2 linked regions of the Caenorhabditis elegans genome follow. The protein of the gene in region 2 purifies or fractionates together with the protein of the main gene of each other region. This does not show direct contact. Each region holds a gene or a part of one and is shown on either strand. Other genes may lie near its edges.

Region 1 (10,169 bases), on a different chromosome or scaffold from region 2:
ATTTTGAAGACTCAGAGACCCATCAGTGCATCGTTGGGCAGCAAAGCAAAGAGCTAATCTGCTGAGTTTGCTTAATGTAGTCATAGAGAATAAGATTTGTTCCTCATAAGATTTTCATTAATTTAAACAAAAATTTGGGAAGCAACCCCCCTTAGCTTTAGGAAAGAAAGACTACTTGAAAAAACTTTTTAATACAATTTGAATCACATTTATTATCAATTAACAGATAAAAAATGAAAAATGAGATCACACATCTTAAAAGGATAAAAAACAAAACATTTAAAATCAAGATCGAAGTGATAAGCCTTGGAACATAATGCGTTTTCCATTTTCTTGAATACTACCATTATACGAATCAATTAGAGTTTCTGAAATCAAGAAAATTACACAGTTGTTAAAATTACCAAGTTGGATTAACTCATGAAATTGATTTAAAAAAGAAGTTATCAAAACGAAAAATCCCTTACCTTCACTCCTAAAACTGCTTTTAAAATCAAAACCTTGAAATAACAGATAAAAATTGATAGCATACACGAAAATCATCAAAACTGCACCGATGTTAACTGACATTTTCCAAATCTCCAACACTTGGCTTCGTTTTAATATATATTCACCACCCTGAGCACTAATAGGACACGCCTACTTTTTCCAATTTCCTTTTCCTAGGTTTGGGGTTACGAAATATATGTAAGTACACTTTATTTTATGTTTGTAGTGAATTCCTAAACAAGTGAGTCACCTGGAAAGAGCCTTATCGGTGATAAGGAAATTGTGATGTGATTTTAATGTCTGGAGTTTTGTCTTGATAAGAAATGATTATTGTTAAGGTGATCAGGAAACACGAATATGATTCATAATTAATAAATATAAATCGCGGAAAAACAGAGTCGTTTTAGAGTTACATAGCAAATAGAGTGTTTACTAATTCTTGAAATTTCTGAATTTGATGGTTTTCTGTGGACCAATACTTTATTTTAAACCTTATCAATGAGCATTTTAGGTATGTTGTGTTTTTTGCCGTTCTTTTTTTTCAAATAAATGCCAGAGAAGCCTGACAGCATAAATCAGCAAAATTAATTAACAAAATTAATTGGAATGCAACGCCAAAAACATTCTCATTTCATTTCAACTTCCCTTTGCTAATTTCACTTGTCGAATGTGTAGCAAAACTCCAATATTATCTGATAAAGACACATATCATGCAAATGCTCTTCACATCCTTACCTCGTTCGAGGTTCCTATTCATATCTTCGGTGCTTATATTATCATAGCAAAGACTCCAAACAATATGAAAAATGTAAGAACGAATATGCTGGTTCTTCACTTGGCGGGTGCCTTATTAGACATTTATATGAGTTGCCTAGAAATTCCAGTATTCCTTTTACCTGCCTGCGCCGTATATCCACTTGGAGTACTAACGATGCTTGGGGTTTCAACTGTTTTTCAAGCCTACGTAGGGGTTTCCCTTATTGGAGGTATGGTTTATTCTGGTTGTGTAAACAGAAAACCATTTTTTAAAAATTAAAATTCAGTGATTGGAATGGCGATTCTTATGTTCTTCGAGGAGCGATATCACAAGTTAATCAGAAATCCAGGTGTAGATAGAAAACGTGGCTGGAAGTACGTTGTATACATTGCTATTCACTATATTATTTCAATAACGTTCATTCTACCTTGCTTTTTAAATATTCCCGATCAAAATCTTGGAAAACTAATGATTATGGAGGTTAGTTTAGTCCTCTAGCATTGAAATCTTTGGACCCAATTAAACAATTAGGTATTGAGTTTCAGACAAATCCCTGCATTCCAGAAGAAAAAATAAATCATCCCGATTTTTTTCTATTAATCACTGAATCTGGTCCGCTCTACTTGAGCCTCGGAATCGCGGCTCTTGTTATTCTCCCACAGGGCGCATTTTTCATCTTAAGTATATTTTGGTATCTTTTCACGCTGAAATCAAAATCGCGAGCCACAACTCGTCTGCAAAAACAGTTGTTCTTCGCAATGTGCTTACAAGTAGCCATTCCAATTTCCGCTATTTGTATTCCAGCCGGTTATTGCGTTGTAGTTGTTGTCGTCGGTTATTACAATCAAGGTAAGCCTCGTAAAGTTTGCAGAGTAATGAAGCCTTTTAGAAGCCAATAATCTTGCTGTATTTACAATGGCACTTCATGGAGGTCTATCAACGTTTGTTATGCTGACCGTGCACGCACCTTATCGAAATGCGACTTTGGAAGTATTTGGAATTAGTTTCAAACGAGTCGTACAGAAACCTAATCAAGTTTGGAACAAATCAGTCAATGAAACAGGAGTAGTACCGTAGTACACAAGTACCCTAGTACCCCAGTACCCCAGTACCCCAGTACCCCAGTACAATAGTCCCCTAGTATCCCATTACCCTAGTACCCTAGTACTCTACATAGTACCCTAGTACCCAAGTACCCTAGTACCCTAGTACCCGTTACGCACATCTTGTGCCTGGTGTCCGACAAGCAGTTAAAAACTATTCTGTGATATAAAATAATTCATTGATAACAATTTGTGCTTATAATTAAAATTTACTAAAATTTCGTTCGAAACGTTTCCCAAATATGATCCCGGCTGCAAATTGATCCAGTCACATCAAATATGCTGATTGAGACAACGAGAATATTGTTGGAGTCCTCTACATCGAAGAACTGCACGTGATAAGTGTAGGCTGGGTAGCTGAAGTAGAAATATTTATATTTAGTTTCAATGGGAAACTATCGAAAATGTTCCTCTAAAACTCACCTCAATTGTAATGCGGCAATTGTAGGAGGCTGATGCTTTGGCTGAACATCGAATTGGCGCAAAACTTGCAAGTGATCAATGATTACAGCAACCTCAATGTTGAAAAACGAGCCAATGGGTAGGTTGGGTCTCGAGCGGAAGTTCTAAAAATTTGATGTGATGACTATGTATGTAGATTGAGAATAAAGTTGGTACAGCACCGAGCGACCCACGATTTAATCTTTATTGTTGTAAAAGAAGTATTAGGCAAGGGTTCAAATTAACTATGGGCTACGGCCTACTTGTTCGGACAAGTGCCTAAATGCGGATCTCTACGTGGACCTGGTAAGGTTTGGACAGCTACCTTCTTGTCTCACCTTGATCACTTTCCAAGCATCTTCCGGTACCAGCTGATGCACTGTGAGCATGTATTTCTCCACGTGGCTCAGCATGGCATAGTCCACTACGACAGTTTGATCTACCCCAGGCGTGTACCCCCTCGGATTCTTCTTGGCGTGAAGATCCAAGGATTTAGCTCTCTTGAAATGATCGGTAATTTTCAGTTTGTCAAAAACCTTCCCACTCAGCGATTTCATTGTGATTTTTTCTAGGTATTCCATTTCGAAGCGGCTTAGGAGCTTTTGAATCCATTTCGACGTAGATTCATTGCAGTCTATTGCGATTTCTCGAGCTTTGATAATAATTTCGGATTTTTCAAGTTCTGAAATCAAAAGTGGCATAATTGAACGATGAGTCGATCGGAATGGGAATTCGAACACAACTCGTTTTGCATTTGAGTTTTTGTTACGGAAAATTCGACAGAAAGTCTCAACTGCCCCGACTCCAACGGCCATCCTAGTTTCTTGATTGAAATTTTTAAGTTTTTTGTTAGGAATATTGTCAATGTCCAGGAAGATATAATATTTCTTATTGGTTGGGTCGGATCCTGAATGAATGTTTTTTTCTCCAAAAATTGTAGAAGGACACGAACCTTCAAGAAAATTGATACTGTTCAAGTTTTCTGGAATTTTGTCAGCCAAAATCATTTCTGTGCGTGAACATTGACGGATGATGCTTCTGGAAATTATTGGTGTTTTTTGGTTTGCACGTTTTTTTGAGAGAGCTCATTCTAAAATTATAGTCTGAAATACAGAAAACATTTTTGAAAATACTTTTTCACTGAAACAAGAGAAACTCTAGTTTTTTTTTTGAAAGAAAATGTTTCGACGGGAACTTCAAATTTTCTAAAAAATGTTTGGCGGGATATTCTATTTTTCAACCAAAAGTTTTCAGATACATAGAAAAAATAAAAATTTTCAAAGGGCTTTCAGAATTTTGTCTAACCTAGACAGTTTCCAAATCAACAAAAATTTGCAAAAACTCCGCTCGACTTTTTTTCAGGACCAAAATGCTCCACCGCAGCTGATTTTTTTTGTTGAGAGTTTATTTTAAAGGTTTTCTTTAAACTTCATTATTAGAACAGTCAGAAAATTTTTTCGTACCTATCTTCAAAATCCAGCTGTTTCAGTACTTCTCTCATAATATCCTCAGGCAATTTTTGCCATTGACTGAATTTTCTGTTTTTGAGATTTTTCTTTTTGCTCATTTTGTCGCATTTTGTGTGCAAAGGTAAATCCGGTTTGTTCTTCATAGCCAATTCTTGAGAATCTGAAATAAAAAGAAAAATATTGAGAAATATTGCAAAATTTGCATTAAAACGAAAGCGATGATTCAATTCAAAAAAACACGTCAATTTTTCAGCAAAAAAAAATGAAAAAAGTCAAAACCATAAAATATTTGTCACATTCGAGGCAGGCAAGGAAAACGAGAGGGTTAGAGAAATAGACAAAAAAGAAAACATATTGCGAAATAATGCAAATGTGAAAAATAATGGTTCTGTATCGTTTTTTTTTTCTTGGCAAGAATTATTGGATTTTATTTTGTACAGCAATTTATTAGAAAATGAGAAATTTCGAAAAATGGCCTGAACTGCCGGAGGACATGAAGTTGGAAGTAATGAAATATTTGACTTTTGGAGAGAGGTTAGTTTAATTTTAAGCATTGGAAAATTAAAATAACTTTCGGAAGAAATTCGATTGCGGTGAGAATTCAAAACTAAAAAACTTAGAATTAAAGTACGTATTTTTAGAAAATTCTGAAAAGTGCTTAAAAAATCTTTCTTGAAAAATTTTGGTTTTTTACCGATTTACTAGAATCATGAGGTAGTTTCAAAAAATTATAACTGGTTCATTTTATATTTTCTGAAAATTGAAAATTCTTCCTGCCACAATTTTCAAAAATGTTTCAATTAAAGTTTTGCACCAAATTTTTTTAGACTCTGAAAATTTAAAACATCACACTAATAGTACGTTTTTTTTTTGAAAAAGTAAAACATTGGGGTTCAATAAATAAGTGAGAAAGGGAGAAAAGTGTGAAAACTTTTAGGCGGTTGGCGATACAAAGAGTGACTGTTGCCACACAGGGCTCACTCGTAACAATACGGGAAAAGGTGAGATGATACATGAGCAGGTGGACTATGGGTAAATGGTAGGACACAACTAGATCAATATGTCAAACCTGTCAAAAATAACTAGTTTATTTTCTGAAAACAATTGTATTACCTGCCAAAATTTTATCACAAAATTTCAATTTTGCACTAAAAAAATTCTAGCAAAAAAATTTCTCACTATCAGAAATTCGGAGTTTCCCAAAATTTGAGTTTCTAAGGTTTTTTGTCCAAAAAAATTTTTTTGACGTCGTAGACTACAAACTACAAAGTTAACAGTTATAATTTACATGCATAGATGCAAAATTCGACAATGCGCAAAAATGGAAATGAGATTAGCAGACAAAATTCCAAATTCGTTTGACTACGTGGAGCTTAAAAAAAGTAGGTTTTATTCTAAAATTTGTGTATTTCTATTTTTCTCCAGAATTGGAAGTCTGCCTACAAATCAATACTATCCCTATAGAAAGTCTCACATTTCACGGAACACGGGCGGTTCACGAACTTTGTCGAATTTTCGAAAATCCAAGCACAACTGCCAAAAAAGTGATTATTTATATGCCTGAAACTCCCGAACAAGTGTTTTCAACTTTAATCTCGGAATTTGAAACTCGAGAAGTAAAAATTAAGGGGAAAGAGATAATGTTTCGAAAAAATGCTGAAAATTCCAGTTGGGCTGCGCAAATTTTGGCACTTTTCAAGGAAGGTTATCTGGAGAAAATCTACGTGGATTGTGTAACCGGTGCCATTTTTGAGAAATTAGTTGAACTGGAGCAATTCAAAATGTGCAAGTACATAAAATTGGAAGCAAGGGTTCTGTCGGAGCAACAACTATTAAAATTCGATTCATCTTTCAAAGTTAACTATGATTTCCTGCAACATGCCGAACGGTTAGAGTTGTCGCTTTGTGATTTGGAGCCCGAGGATGCTTGGGAAATTATAAAGGTTAAAACAGGAGACCACTCAAACCACTCAATAAAATTCTTGAATATTTTCAGAATTTCCGCTCGAGACCACAACTTCCTATTAACTCGTTTTTCAAAATTTTCGTGGATAATTATGTAAAGAGTGGGAAAATTGTTCGCTTGTTTGATGTTCAGCCAAAAAACGAGGAAGAGATTGCAGAAATTACTTGGTGAGGTTTAAACCTTTTTCTTAATTTTTTTCACTTTTTTCGAGATAACTTTCAATTAGCGAAGCTTAAAAGTTATTTTGAGTGTTAAATAAATCTCACTAACCCAATTTTTTGTCAGCTTTGAACACGTTCAACTCTTCGACATGGAAGATCGGAACAAACTTCTGGTGGTTGGTATGTGGCGCCGTGTTCTATATGGATCCATCTGCCGTCGTGATTGTATTTTGAAGGATTTTGACCGTAACCGTTAATTGTACTTCTTTACTAACAACACGTTTTCAAAGTCCTTGCTCAATGTCGGCTGCTGATTTATAGAAATATCCCCATTTCACTCGAGATCAAATTTCATATTTACAAACTATAAACTGACACAAAAAGTTTTTTCTTGTATCAACTTAATTAAACATAGAATATTCGTACATCTATTTTTAAACTGACGACTTTATTGATGAATTTGAGGTGATTCTATGTGAGGTAGACATAGGATCAACAAACACTTGAAACTAATAGCAACCAATAAAAAAGAACAGCTAATTACTGACTCAACAAAATCATCACATAAAAAACTTCAAATCTCGAATGAATTGTGCAACGCCAATCTGAGCTCTTCGATGGTTTTCGGAGTTTTGATGACTTTTCCGCTGATATGCCACGGGGTCAGTCGAACGATCATAATGTGTTCCAGATTGTGTTTGTTGCCTTTCATAAATGGAATGTGAAGAAAAACCTTGTTCGTGTTAGTTTGGACGGTGTCGGTTTTATTCATAAATGGGCTTAAGTCCATTTTTTCAAGAACGTTGATGTTGAACGTGGATGTTAGGAGAGGGGTTTCGTGACGACGAAGCTGAAATTTTCATGGTTTTCTTCATCTTCTTACATTCAGATATACTAATTATATGTTAGGCTAATTTTTTATATCCGTCAATTTTGTGGTTTGTGACCTGTGACATAGCACTAAACGGAAAATGGGCAAATTCTCAGAAGCTCACTACTTTAGTGGATGGACCCTGTCAAGACTCCCGTTTCAACGAGACAGGAGAAAAGTTAGAGTCCCTGGCTATTTTGGCAGTACCCTTATTACTGACTAAACAGTAATTTCTAAAATTCCTAACATTGATTTTTTCCAATACTTACATTAATAATGCACTCAATGAGTTGATAGTCCGCACAATCCAACTGAACTTGTATATTGTCCTGAACGAGCAGTTGCCGAGCAGTTTTTCTTAGACTGTGCACATATACGTTGAGAGCATTCGTGAATTTCCGTTTGTATGTGTTCAAGATCAGTGGAGGGCCTTCATTCGCCTTCTTATATTCGATTTTGAAGAAATCGGACATTTCTCTCAGTTTCAGCTTATCGAAGCAGAAGCTGCGAGTAGTAACAAACAGAAGAATAAAGAAGCTATAAACGCAGACAAGGTACAAATGAGAGGAGGGCTTGACGGTGGCGCCGTGGGCAACAGGAGCCAAAAGGTGCAAGGGTATGTGTGGGAAGTCTCCCCGGAGATTACTGACGTCGGGGCTAGAAATGTGCATGTATGTGAAATCAGAGAGTTGCTGAATTTACACACAAATCATCACGTACCCCTGAATTATGTTCAACTTTGTCTACACAACAAATAGAGATAGTTCGATTCGCCGCTTACAGTAACACACCTGCTCATCTAACCTCCCAAGAAAAGGGAGTTTACACGGTGTTCCAATTTTAATGTATTTCATTAAATTTTCTTCTCTTTCTGCGATTCATGTATATGATAATTTGGAGGAATGTTATTTTTAATTTTTAAACTAAATTTTTTAAAACTAAATTGGTTTTAATTTAACTGTTCCCTGTACTTGATTTTTACAATTCAAAGTAAAAACTTGCAAACCCGAAAAATTATGAGAACCACTAATTGTATGATTTGAAATTATGAACAGTCGTCTCATGTGGTATCAGAGTGTCCCCTTTCGGTTTGATCTGCGTCGATCTACAAAAAATGCGGGAGTTGAGACGCAGAGTTCTCAACTGATTTCTCATTGGTAAGAACTTGCTGACGTCATTTTTATGGGCTACAAATTTGCGCATTTTTGTAGATCAAACCGAAACGACCCCGCGTGCAGTCTGTCTAGTTGGCTCGGCTATTCATAGACCATACGGCTGGTGACCTCTTCTCTTCCCACGGGGAGGCAAACGGTACGTCCGAGAAAGTGCGCTCTACTGCTCAATGAGCATACCACTGGTGAGAGGGTATCAACAAAAAATTCATTGGTGTCATTAAATAGAGAATTTTCTGTAGAACATTTTTCATATGCATCACTTCCAAAAAATTTGAGCCGTTTTCGAGATAAATCCATTCTAAAAATGCGACTACTGTAGAAATTAGTGTATGTACGTAAAGTTTGCCTCCCCGTGTTCCCAAAGAGTTCCTTTCTTTCTCTCACACCCTCCACCCCTCTCATTCTCCCTTGGTCTCCATTTCTTGCATGTTCTTGCATATTCCCTATTCTGTCCCCAGATCGATTTGATTTTTCGCGTTTTTTATTTATTTTACTCTTATTCTTTTTAAATAATCTTTAAATTTTATTTTTTTAGTTTTAAATTATCAAAAGTGATGACCCAACGAAGAAAATCCGTAAAGGACCCGGCGTACCGAGCGGTCCGTGCAAAAAAAGGACCCACAAGATTCGAGCAATGGCCGATGCTCCCAGAAGTGGCGAAGAGAATGGTGATCGGGAATTTGAGTTTTGAGGATAGGTAAGACCTTTTTTATTTTTTTGAAAATTCGCAAAAGATTAAAGTTTTACAAAATTTATTTAAAATATCTGAAAACCCCAAATATTCGGAAATTAAAAACAAGTCTTTCAAAATCAAAGTTTCAGTTTTTTTTGGTTTCAAGAATTCGAAAGTATTCAAAAATTCCAATTTTTCTGAAATTTCACACTTCCTGGAAGATAAAAAATTCAAAAAAATACGAAAATTCTCGTAGATAAATCTTGATTGTTAATAACTAGCAAAACAAATCCTAGAAATTTAATTTTTATTGATTTCTATGTTTTCAGAAACAACATTCGTCAGTGCTCCACCGTCGAAATGAAGCTGGTCGATAAAATAGCTGATTCCTTCGACAAGCTGAGAATCTTCGAAGGTATACCAGTTTAACCTCATTTTCCAAATAAAAAAGCGTTGAAAATTCAGCGAAAAACGATGAGGAAACCAAGCAATACTTGTGCCTGTCGATAAATAGATGGAATTTCAAAGTTCTGAAGACCGACAATCTCAAAAATCGAACAGCCATCGGAGTCGGCGCTGTCACAACTTTCTGCCGAATCTTCGCGAATCCGAGAACTACTGCAAAATGTGTAGAGTTGGATTTTCCCTACAGATCAACTCACCGTAACATTATGCCAATTTTGGTCTCCGAACTTGCAAGGACTGGCGTCAAAATCCGAGCCAAGGAGCTCTGGGTCAGGAGCAATCAGGCCGCTTACAAGTGGATCGGAAAAGTCCTGAAAGCTTTTGAACCGGGGCACCTGGAAAAGATCGCAGTGGGCCGTATCTCAGGAAAGGACTACGCGGAGATTAAGAACACCGAGCAGTTCAAGGCCTGCAAACAATATATGCTCATCGCAGAAAGTAATTTTCAGTTATACAAAGGGTTTGATGGGACTTTCCAGCTGGACCTGGATGCTGTGATGCGGAGAAGCTTGAAGTTTCGATGCAAGTTCTAAGACCGGATGAAGCGTGGAAAGTGATTACAGTGAGTTTTTGAAATTTGTAGAAACTTCAAATAATTT
Region 2 (10,169 bases):
TAATATCTGAACAGAAACAGAAAACTTCCCAACTCTGAAAAAATTAAAAATTGTACATTTGTTTCATAGTTTTAAACTGATTCTGAAAATATTTTCATCATTTCAACAACTCAAAAATCTCATGGAAATGGTCCAATTTTTGTCGCTATTTGGATTTAAATCATCACTTTGTATAAATTTTTGCAAGGAGGAGCCGGAAGAACTGGAAGTTCAATTTGAAAAATTAAAAAATTTCAGACTGTTTCGCATTCTTCATGAATATCTGAAAAAGTTGAATGTATTGATACAAAGGTTCCTAGAAGAATACGAATTAAATCACTGCGCTAACAAAAACAAACTGTTTCACGTGGATTATTCCTTGTTCAACAATTTTTCTAACCAATATGTTCGATTTTTTATTTCAAAACTATCTGTTAAACAAATTTTCAAAATGTTTTAACGCGTTTTGTAAGCTGTTTTCGGCTTGACTCGTTTTAGGTATGTTTTGGTAATTGTCAAATGGAAAATTATGTGAAAAACATAAAACTATAAAATGACGTTAAAAATTCAGAAAACATCTTTTTTCTTTGAAGGTCCATTATAGTTTACTAAATACTGTTTCACATTTATAATTTAAGCGTTGAATACTTTTTCAAATTATTAGATTGATTTTTTTATCATCAACACCGAAATTGATTTTAAAATTAATTTTAAATATTGTTTCAAAACTTGCGGAAATTTTATTCAAAATTTAGGTTTTGTTTTAAACATTCCCTGTAGAAAAGCACGACATTTATTAAAATTTTCTTTTTTTAGCTGATATAAAATTACAGCCTTCTCAAACACAAAGTTTTAGCAACTATAAAGGTATACTGAAACAAAACTATTTTTCAGAAACCACACTTAAAACATAAATGAAAAATTAAGTTGTTGTTATAAATTTGTAATTTGTAAACTGCTTATTTTATTTTTTCTTGCATTTTTTGTAGCCTGGAATTTATGTTTTTAAAATTTAAAAAGTCAACATCTACCAGACTAACTTAAATACGCATTCGGAGTAAAAAAATTGTCTTAGCATCAATTTGGGCAATAGTTTATTTTGAATTCGATATTTTCATTGCATTAGCTTTCAGAAAATATATCATTCAACCCATAACTCTCTTGTGACCAAAAAAGAGTCCCTAGTAAGACGACTAATAACAATCTTGGACGATTAATGTTAAAAAAGGAAACAGTATCTGTAATTTAAAAAAATTATTTCAGTTACTCGAATCAATTATTTTTTCCCGAGTGAAAAAACGAGTGAAAAAAATCAAGAGATCAAATATTAAGTCATATCTGTAGAAAAGCGGAACAAACTTGAACAGTAATCATGATACTATCTGAACAGAAACAGAAAACTTCACAAAAAAAAATTAAAAATTGAACATTTGTTTCATTGTTTTAAACTAATTCTGAAAATATTTTTATCATTTCAGCCACTTAAAAATCACAAGGAAATGCTCCAATTATTGTCGGTATTTAGATTAAAATCATCGCTTTGTATACATTTTTGCAAGGAGGAGCCGGAAGATCTGAAAGTTTAATTTGAAAAATTTAAGAATTTCAGACTGTTTCACATTCTTCATGAATACCTGAAAAAGTTGAATATGTCGATAACGATACAGCCTTACATGTATTATTATTGACTTTTGAATTTTTCTAAAATAATATCGATAAAATTACTGCGCGAGCAAAAAAAATCTGTTTCACGTAGATTATGTATTGTTCAACATATTTTCTAACTAATTTCTTTGAATTTGTATTTGCGAAACTATTAAACAAATTTTCGAAGTTAAAAATCTTGAAAAAAAATTTTATAACCGTTTATAAATCTGTTTGGTTATTATCATATTTTGCTAAAAAAAAATTTCAATTTATTGTTTAGGCATTGAATATTTTTTTCAAACTAATGTTGATTTTCTATCTTCAACACAATCTTGGAAGATTAATGTTAAAAAAGGATGTTGAAATTGTCAATATTGTTTGAAAACTTGAGGAAGTTTTATTCAAATTTTAGGTTTTATTTTACAAATCCCGTGTGGAAAAACACGATTTTTTTTTCTGAAACTCTACAATTTATTAATTTTTTTTCTTTTCTCGCAGATAATAGCTACATTTTACACGCTTTTACTACGTTTTTACAACGATGAAGGTCTAAGGTCTACTAAAACAAAACCATTTTTCAGATAAAAAACTGAAAACATAGATGAAACATCAAATAGATAAATTTGTAATATTTAAAATGTACATTTATTTTTTCTCTTTTATTTTTTGTAGCCCATAATTCTTATTTTTTAAGTTAGAAAACTTTTTAAAAAACTCCAGCAAGAATGAAGAATAACAATCTTGGTAGATAATGTCTAAAAAAATTTTTGTTGAAGCAGCATCTGTAATTTAAAAAAACCATTCCAATTACTCGAATAACTTATTTTTCCCGAGGGAAAAAATAATCAAGATTGGAAAGATTTCCGCGCATCAAGTATTTTCCTAATACAAAGAAAGTTCATATGATCAATTTGGCAAAACCATAAAACAGGAAGCAGGAAAAATCCGGTATTATGACCTGAATAGAGTGGCTAAACTACACACACACGAGAAGAAGAATACCGTTCATTTGCGTACACAATTTTCTCGATGATCATTCGTTGTGAAATAAAATTTTTATTGGAAAAATATTTATTCAATTTTCAAGCTGAAAAAAATGAAAGAAAAATTTTAAAACTATATGATTTTGTTAACAATCGTGTTTTTTTCTTTAAAACCACTGAAAAATTGTTTTAACGAATAAAAACTGGAAATTTTCACCATGTTTCTGTATTTTTTGTATTTTCACAGAAATTAACTGATCATATAAGTAACCAGTGAAGAATATAAAACCGGTTTTTACTGGATCCTAATCTAAATCCTATGGATGTAGTGAATAACTTTTTACTTTTTATTGCAATGTAATGAACATTTTTACATGTTTGCAAAGAAACCGAAAAAAAAGGTCTTTTGTCAACCTTTTCTATAATTTGTTTTGCTAATTTTGAAACATTTTTTTCATTTTTTCACAGTTTCATGTTATTGGTTTGTTAATAGTAAGACTAATTCCGTCATTCGGACCAGGGCTGTGCGGCTGGCTGATATTTTCGGCTGTCGGCTGAGAACAATTTATCAGTCGGCTGTCGGCTGGTGCTACCAGCCGAAAATCCCAAAATTTTCGGCTGTCGGCTGGCGCCGCCAGCCGGCTGGTGTTTTTGGTTAAGTATTGCAAAAAAGTTTCGAAGTTATTTAGTATACTTTTAGTACAAAAACATACTATAGCAAAATATTTCATCATTTTATTCATCAAAAAACCAAATTTTCTTATTTTTTCCACTTGTAGAACTTGCATCTAGTGTCAAAATATGTCAAAATGTCAGTTAATTTTTTTTCAAAACGCCAGCCGAAAACTCTAATTTGGGGGTCGGCTGGCGCAGCCACCCGACCTTTCACTATCAGTCGGCTGTCGGCTGGCTGCGTCAGCCGACAGCCGCACAGCCCTGATTTGGACTTTAACTTTTTTCAAAAAATTTAATGTTTCACCAATCCGTGATATTTTTGTAACAATTAAATATGTTTGTTTTTTTGGTTTTTTCACGACTAGTTATTTTCAATAGGAAAATTTTAAAAACTTCCTTTCAGAATGTTCTCTCTTCATAATTTTGAAATTACCTTCATTTTTAAATAATTTTAAAACTAGATATTTTATAAAATTATAGTTCTGGATGATTTTATACTACTTTGAAACTTTTAAGGATGTGTTTTTCAATCCTGACCTCCTTAGAAATTGTGTTCTTTTTTGATTGAATTTCTTGAGTTTTGTTGGTTTAGACGTTTTGTTTACAATTAAAAAAAAATTGAGAGCCGTGCACATTTTGCATTTAACAGAATTTTGCCATGTCGAGACCATGTACCATATTTTTGGCGCAAATTTTTTGCATCTAGGTTATTAGCGATTTCTTTGTTTTAATTTTAATTATTTTTAATCAAGAAAATACAAGTGTAAAGGCGCAGAACCCAAATCTGAATCTTTCCTTTTTCCGATCCAAAAATGACAATATTTACCGAATTAAAACTTAAAAATATATAACAATTTTAGCAACTATGTGAAACATAACTTTTTTCAAATTTTCCTCTTTACCATAAATTTCAATTCAATTTATTCCAGATTTTACCACAATGCGAGAAGACATCCAATGCCTTCGTGGTATTGCTATAATCTTTGTTTTACTATTTCACTTGAACCCTAACCTATTTGTTAATGGATTTCTCGGTGTTGATATGTAAGCCCTGAAACTATTTTTAATTTTTGAAATCAATATTTATTTTTCTTTTTTAGATTTTTTGTGATATCTGGTTTTCTGATGGCTAAAAATTTAACAAAGGCAAAATTAGTGAAAATTCATGATTTTCTGCTGTTTTACTATATGAGGTTAAGTTGACAGCATTTGTGGTGACTAATGTAAATCCAAATTTTTATAGATTCCGTAGGATTCTACCAATGTATTTTCTGGCGGTTTTCCTGATTGTTGTAATGACACAGTTGTGTCTTGGAGATTTTTTGTGGAAGAATAATAATCGATATGCGTTGGCATCGCTGTTCATGGTGACGAATCAGCTGATTATTCATGATCAGGCAGATTATTTTAATGAGGTAAGAGAAGAAAATTCAGATTTATTATGGGAAGTGTGTAGTTTTGTTCACTTTTTCTGTTATATTCACTTTTAAAATTATTCTTTCCTAAAAAATGAAATTTCAAAATTTTCGGGCATTCAACCCGAATGCTTTATTCATTTTGCTTTTAATATTCATCACTTCTGTGGAACAGTAACTTTTTTATCCAATATTTAAAACAATTTTTAAGCTAAATGTAGCAAAAAATTATACAGCAACTTAGTTTTTTATAAGTTTATCGTGTATTTTACCCACTTTATATGTTATATTCACTTTTCCAAATTATTCTTTCGCAAAAAAATGAATTTTCAAAAATTGTGCAAACTATACCCCTTGTGAGTTCAATTCTACCACAATTTTTTTTTACAAAAAGTGTCCATTCCTTCCATTTACTGCAATTTGATAATCCAATATTTAAAACAATTTTCAAGGTAAAAGGATTTTGGAAAAAACTTAAAATTTTGTTATGAGAGTTTTCATAATGGTTTTAAAAACAGCTCCAATTAAACGACATTCTAATATTTTTCAAGTTTTGGAAATGGTGAAAATATGAATCATTTAAGTATAGCGTGTATAACTTTTCATGTAATGATTTCATTCTAATAATTTCCTTAATAGATTTTAAATATATCGAACAACTTTTCTTACAAACTTGAAACAGTGTTTAAAATTTTATTCACAATGGTCAGAAGCGGCTAAAATAGTTACACATCTTCTCTATTTTCAACAAGTTTTGTACTGAAAGTATATTAAAAAAGATACAATTATGAAAATTTATCGAAATAGTTTTTTAACTTGATATTCAATTATTTAGTCTTTGGCAAAAGGACATTAGATTTGTCTATAAATGGCAGGAACTCTGATAATTTTTTTTTAGCTATTTAAATTGATTAATGATTCAGAAAAATGTTAAGCAAACTTTCAAATTTATTTGAAACAACATTTGAAAACTTTTCAACTTTCCTCGAGTTGAAATTATGCCACAAATTATTATAAAATCATTGTTAAACTCTCTATAAAAAAGTTGAATACAATACGTTGAATGCTCTCTGTTGGTAATTGGTTTTAAATGACAGAATAGAAACCGTAATTTTTTTTTCTAAAAATTTCAAAATTATTTTGCAAATTTATTTTCTGATTTGGCCTATTTTCTGGTGTTTGTTTTTAAAATGAACCCATTTTAATGGTTTTTTTTTTAATATTGAAAATAATAATTTCTAAAAGTTTAGTCAGAAAAAGTGTTCAAAACTTTATTTTGCCGCAAACCCCGCTGGAAATTGTCAAAATATCCAATTTTCCAGTTTTTTGCCGCCACGTCTTCAATAAACGGGTTCCTTCATCTATGGTCCCTCTCCTTGGAAATGCAATTTTATCTTTTTGTTCCAATTATATTTTTTGGACTACAATTTCTGAAAAATGACTATCTGAAGGTAACTCGTCTTTAACAAATTTTTAATTTTTTTAAAATTTTTTAATGTTTCAGCTAGCGACTGTCTTGATAATTTCAGTTTTCGGTTTCATTGGTTTTGCCCTGATCTTGGACAAATTCGCGTTCAACTTCATGTTCCTCAGATTGTGGCAGTTTTCTGTAGGATTTTCTGCTCTTTTTTGGAGCAAGATTCAAGAAAATGGAACACCTAGTAAAACTGAGAAGCCTAGCACTTTCACATGTCCATTGACTAAAAATGACCTGGTTACTGTATCCTTGTCAGCGCTAGCACTTTGTCTATCAACTATGGAGATTAAAGTTTTAGTTCTAAGACCACTGGTTACTGTAGCAACTGCTGTGATAATTGCATGTGAATCGAAAAATTTTCAGGTAAGTTTATAGCATAATATTTAACTGAATTTAAAACAGAAATTTCAGTTTCTAAAATCCCCGACACTCGGGTATATTGGGGATATTTCATATGTATTGTACCTGGTTCATTGGCCAGTTATTTCAATTTTCTTGATTTCAAACGCCAGAAGTTATATTTTCTGTATCAGTGAGTTGGGATTTATTTATTGAAAAAATAATATGTAATCTACCGTTTCAACAAACTGTGAAGTAATGAATATTTTCAAAAGTATTCAGTTATGTTAAGATCCATGATTCCTAAATAATTCCGATTTTTCGTCAGTATACTAGACTACAGTCTCGTTGTGAAAATGAAATTTTAGAAAAGTGTGACGTCACACTCGGACTTGATTCAGAAATTTTTTAACCAGCTGAGGAAACTGTTTAAAGAAAAATTTTCTTAAAGTTTAAAGCCCAAAATTTAAATTTCACAAGATTTCACGATAATACAACTTTTAGAAAATTTCGCCGTTTCATAATGTTAATTTGAAAAACTTGTAGTAATCAAATTTAAATGGCATTTATTATCGGTTTCTTGAAAATTGGCAATAGAGTTTTAGTTTTAGTTTTTTAAAGGTTTTTTTTTGACATTTGAAGTATTTAACTGTTTCATGTTGGTTGTTTAAAGATAGTTAATGTTTTTAGAATAGTCATCCTCGAATCAAATGTTAAAAACTTTGATTTTTTTTCAGAATTGCTCTCCATCTGAAAGTTTAAGTTTCACGCATTTGAAAAAACTAATTTATTTTTAAATTTAAACTCTCTTCTCAACTGACTATTTTATTCTCAAACATGTACCCTTTTCCCAAAAATAATATAAGATTTCAATTACTCAATAGATTTATTCTATTCAATTATACTTTCAGTGATCATATTCATTTCATCAATTCTTCTCCATCATCTTTTCGAGAAACAATACCTGAAATTGGACATGAAAGGAGTTTTTCCATTAATTTTCCTACTAATCGCAAGTAATGCATATTTTCAATATAGTGTCAGAAATGACACATTTTGGATGAACAATTTCACACCGGAAACTCGAGAAATTATCGACAAAAACCTGGTTTTGTATACTTCGCTTTGGGATTTGGAGCCAAAAAAGGATAAGTGTATCGAAAATGACATTGATGTGCCTTTTCCGAAAAATGATCTCAAAGGTTATTGTAGATTTGCGGTGAGTAAAAGTTAAGAGAAATCAGAAAACTTTTTACTTTCTGTTTCTCGATTTTTGATGAATTTCGGAAACAGTAATTTTTTGAAAAAATATTTTTTAAAAGTTACATCTAGGATTTCATTTTAAGCCAGGAAAAGGCAATTTATCAGTCATGATGATTGGAAATAGCTATGTGCTTAACTTCAGCGAGCACATCCGAGCTCATTTTAACTACAACTATTCAGATTATCGATATATGTCAGTTATTGGTGAGTTATAGATCTTATTCTGGTATTCTTATATTGAGAAACATTTTCAGCCAGTTACGGGCTTTTTTCGGACCACCGTTTGCTTTCTCAGCAGGCTTTGGAATTTTCAAAGAAACAAGTGGAATTGCACAAGCCCGACGTGCTTTTCATAGTGGCAAGGTAATACTTATTTCATTTAGTAACATAAACTTTCAAAATTTTATTGTGAAAAATTATATAAATTAAGAAATGCTATTTTTTTTTGCTTAATTCTGTACATAAAATATATGACAAATATTTTAGTATTGGAAAGTTTTTTTTATCAACATTGTGAAACATCAAGTTTTTTTTTCAAGTAAAAAAGGAATTTGTCATTTTACTTTAGAAACAATGTCTCAATGAGCCTGCACTCAATAATTGTTTTATTTTAACGAACATTCATTTTAGTTAATTGATCTGGAATTTTTCAGATATATGAATAACATAAAAAATCCTGTTCAAAAGGATGATAAGATTGTGCAACAAATTAATGAAACAATTGCACATTATGAAAAGTTAGTTATAAAAAATCCTGTTTCAAAACAGAAAAAAAAATATTTTAGATACGTGAAAAAACTATACATCCTGGACGCATTCCCAGAGTTTCATGAAAACTTTTTGAACTTATTCCTGCACTACGCTGTAACTAGGCCAGATGACATGGATGCTCTGCATTTGAGTAAAAAGTTGGCGGACGACGAAAAGAGACCGGTGGTGAAGAGATTCAGGCAGATAAAATGCAAGAAATGCCACGTGGGTTTTTAATTGTTTGTTTTTTTTAATTATATGAATAATTTATAACAGAAAATAAAAAGTTTCAAATTTTAATTTTATTGGCGTATACAGGATGTGATGAAATTTAAGAAAAATCTAATTTTGTAATTCTTGGATTTAAAAAATTAAAATTTGAACTTTTCAGTAAAACTTTTTTGGTTTCCAAGTTTACTGAGTTTTAGCAACGAACACTGAATAAAACAACTTCACAAAACAGTTTCAATTGAAATAATTAATATTTAATTCTTATAAGCTTAAGCTTTGGTCCCTAGTTTAACAATCCGATTTTATAATCAAAAAAATCATGAAGTCAATGGGAAACTGTACGGGAACTTGAACGTAATTGCGTCAAAAATATGTTGTTGTCTTCAAATTTGGAAAAACAAGTCAATTTTCAGTTCTGAACAGTGTACTTTCCATAGATTTTGAAATAAAATTATGAAAAGTTATAAAAACTTCAACTCGAAAAAGTTTTGTTTTTAACTCAGATTTTCACTATTTCATATCCTTCATAAATTTCTGAAAGTTTTAATGTAAACGTTACTTTTCGTATTTATCTTTAATATTTCCAATTCCAGTTCTTCGATCTCAGTCCCATGTTCCTGGAAGATGACAAGTACCTGACATTCGATAAAGACACAATGTTGGCTTACGTGGATAATTCCGTACATCTCACAGGCCCTGGGGTGAAAGTCTGTGAGCCTGTCTTCAAGAAAATTGTCACGGAAATTATGGATAGTTTTTAAGATAATTGTCTGAGTATGATGATTTTATTATTGAAATAAATTAATTTATTGATAACCTTGCAAATTGTCTAAAGAGTGAAAAGATAATTAATAATTTAATTTTGGACTCATTTATGTGACTTGATGAGCAATATTATTAACAATATGACAAAAGTTAGCCGTAAATCGATTTTTAAAATGTTATTGCAATATGACAACACAGTGAAACAGACTTCGATAGAAAAATATAATAAAACATAATAAAAATGCTGTTTCAAACTTATTTTAAAATTTAGAACTTACTAGAAATGTATTTATGTGTTGAGAAATAACAAAAAAAATGTTGAAGATTTTTTGAGTTCAATTTTTTTCAAAGAGGTATTGTGTGAAAAATTTTCAGTTTCATGTTCATGATAGAAAAGATTAAAAAGTTTTCAGAACGTTGAGAGCACATTTTAGAAAAAAAAGTCAAAACGTTTTTTCTCAAATGAGTTTTTTTTTTAAGTCTGATAAGTGTGATTTTTTGAGAAAACTTATTTTAAATTCAAATGCAATATTTGGCAAATAAGAAAATTGAAACCAGTTTGTATTACCAAAAATCAGTTTGAGATCATATGGATTATTAGGTCAACAAAAACAAAATGTTTTTGAAAACATTGTCAAACAGCAA

What was found.
Region 1: the proteins of oac-56 (region 2) and fbxa-150 fractionate together in Caenorhabditis elegans (co-fractionation; one large-scale study listed by BioGRID). This does not show direct contact.

What each region holds. Positions count from the first base shown.
Region 1 is NC_003283.11:20,516,854-20,527,022, reverse strand, and holds fbxa-150 (F-box domain-containing protein), read right to left. Parts: upstream 4,426-10,169; 5' UTR 4,403-4,425; coding exon 4,254-4,402; intron 3,829-4,253; coding exon 3,743-3,828; intron 3,698-3,742; coding exon 3,129-3,697; intron 2,916-3,128; coding exon 2,773-2,915; intron 2,707-2,772; coding exon 2,562-2,706; 3' UTR 2,511-2,561; downstream 1-2,510. Other genes in the region: Y38H6C.24 (Transposase), read right to left, coding at 286-368, 468-570; srh-166 (Serpentine Receptor, class H), read left to right, coding at 1,157-1,475, 1,533-1,726, 1,792-2,095, 2,136-2,323; Y38H6C.9 (DUF38 domain-containing protein), read left to right, coding at 4,753-4,793, 5,556-5,641, 5,685-6,202, 6,256-6,392, 6,511-6,643; Y38H6C.25 (FTH domain-containing protein), read right to left, coding at 6,961-7,236, 7,527-7,730.
Region 2 is NC_003282.8:14,344,786-14,354,954, reverse strand, and holds oac-56 (Acyltransferase), read left to right. Parts: upstream 1-4,203; 5' UTR 4,204-4,224; coding exon 4,225-4,328; intron 4,329-4,384; coding exon 4,385-4,477; intron 4,478-4,506; exon of another isoform or gene 4,507-4,527; coding exon 4,528-4,699; intron 4,700-5,195; exon of another isoform or gene 5,196-5,216; intron 5,217-5,313; exon of another isoform or gene 5,314-5,334; intron 5,335-5,437; exon of another isoform or gene 5,438-5,458; intron 5,459-5,592; exon of another isoform or gene 5,593-5,613; intron 5,614-5,741; exon of another isoform or gene 5,742-5,762; intron 5,763-6,021; coding exon 6,022-6,150; intron 6,151-6,203; coding exon 6,204-6,539; intron 6,540-6,587; coding exon 6,588-6,708; intron 6,709-6,746; exon of another isoform or gene 6,747-6,767; intron 6,768-6,797; exon of another isoform or gene 6,798-6,818; intron 6,819-7,210; exon of another isoform or gene 7,211-7,231; intron 7,232-7,426; coding exon 7,427-7,734; intron 7,735-7,741; exon of another isoform or gene 7,742-7,763; intron 7,764-7,861; coding exon 7,862-7,982; intron 7,983-8,032; coding exon 8,033-8,141; intron 8,142-8,234; exon of another isoform or gene 8,235-8,255; and 13 more.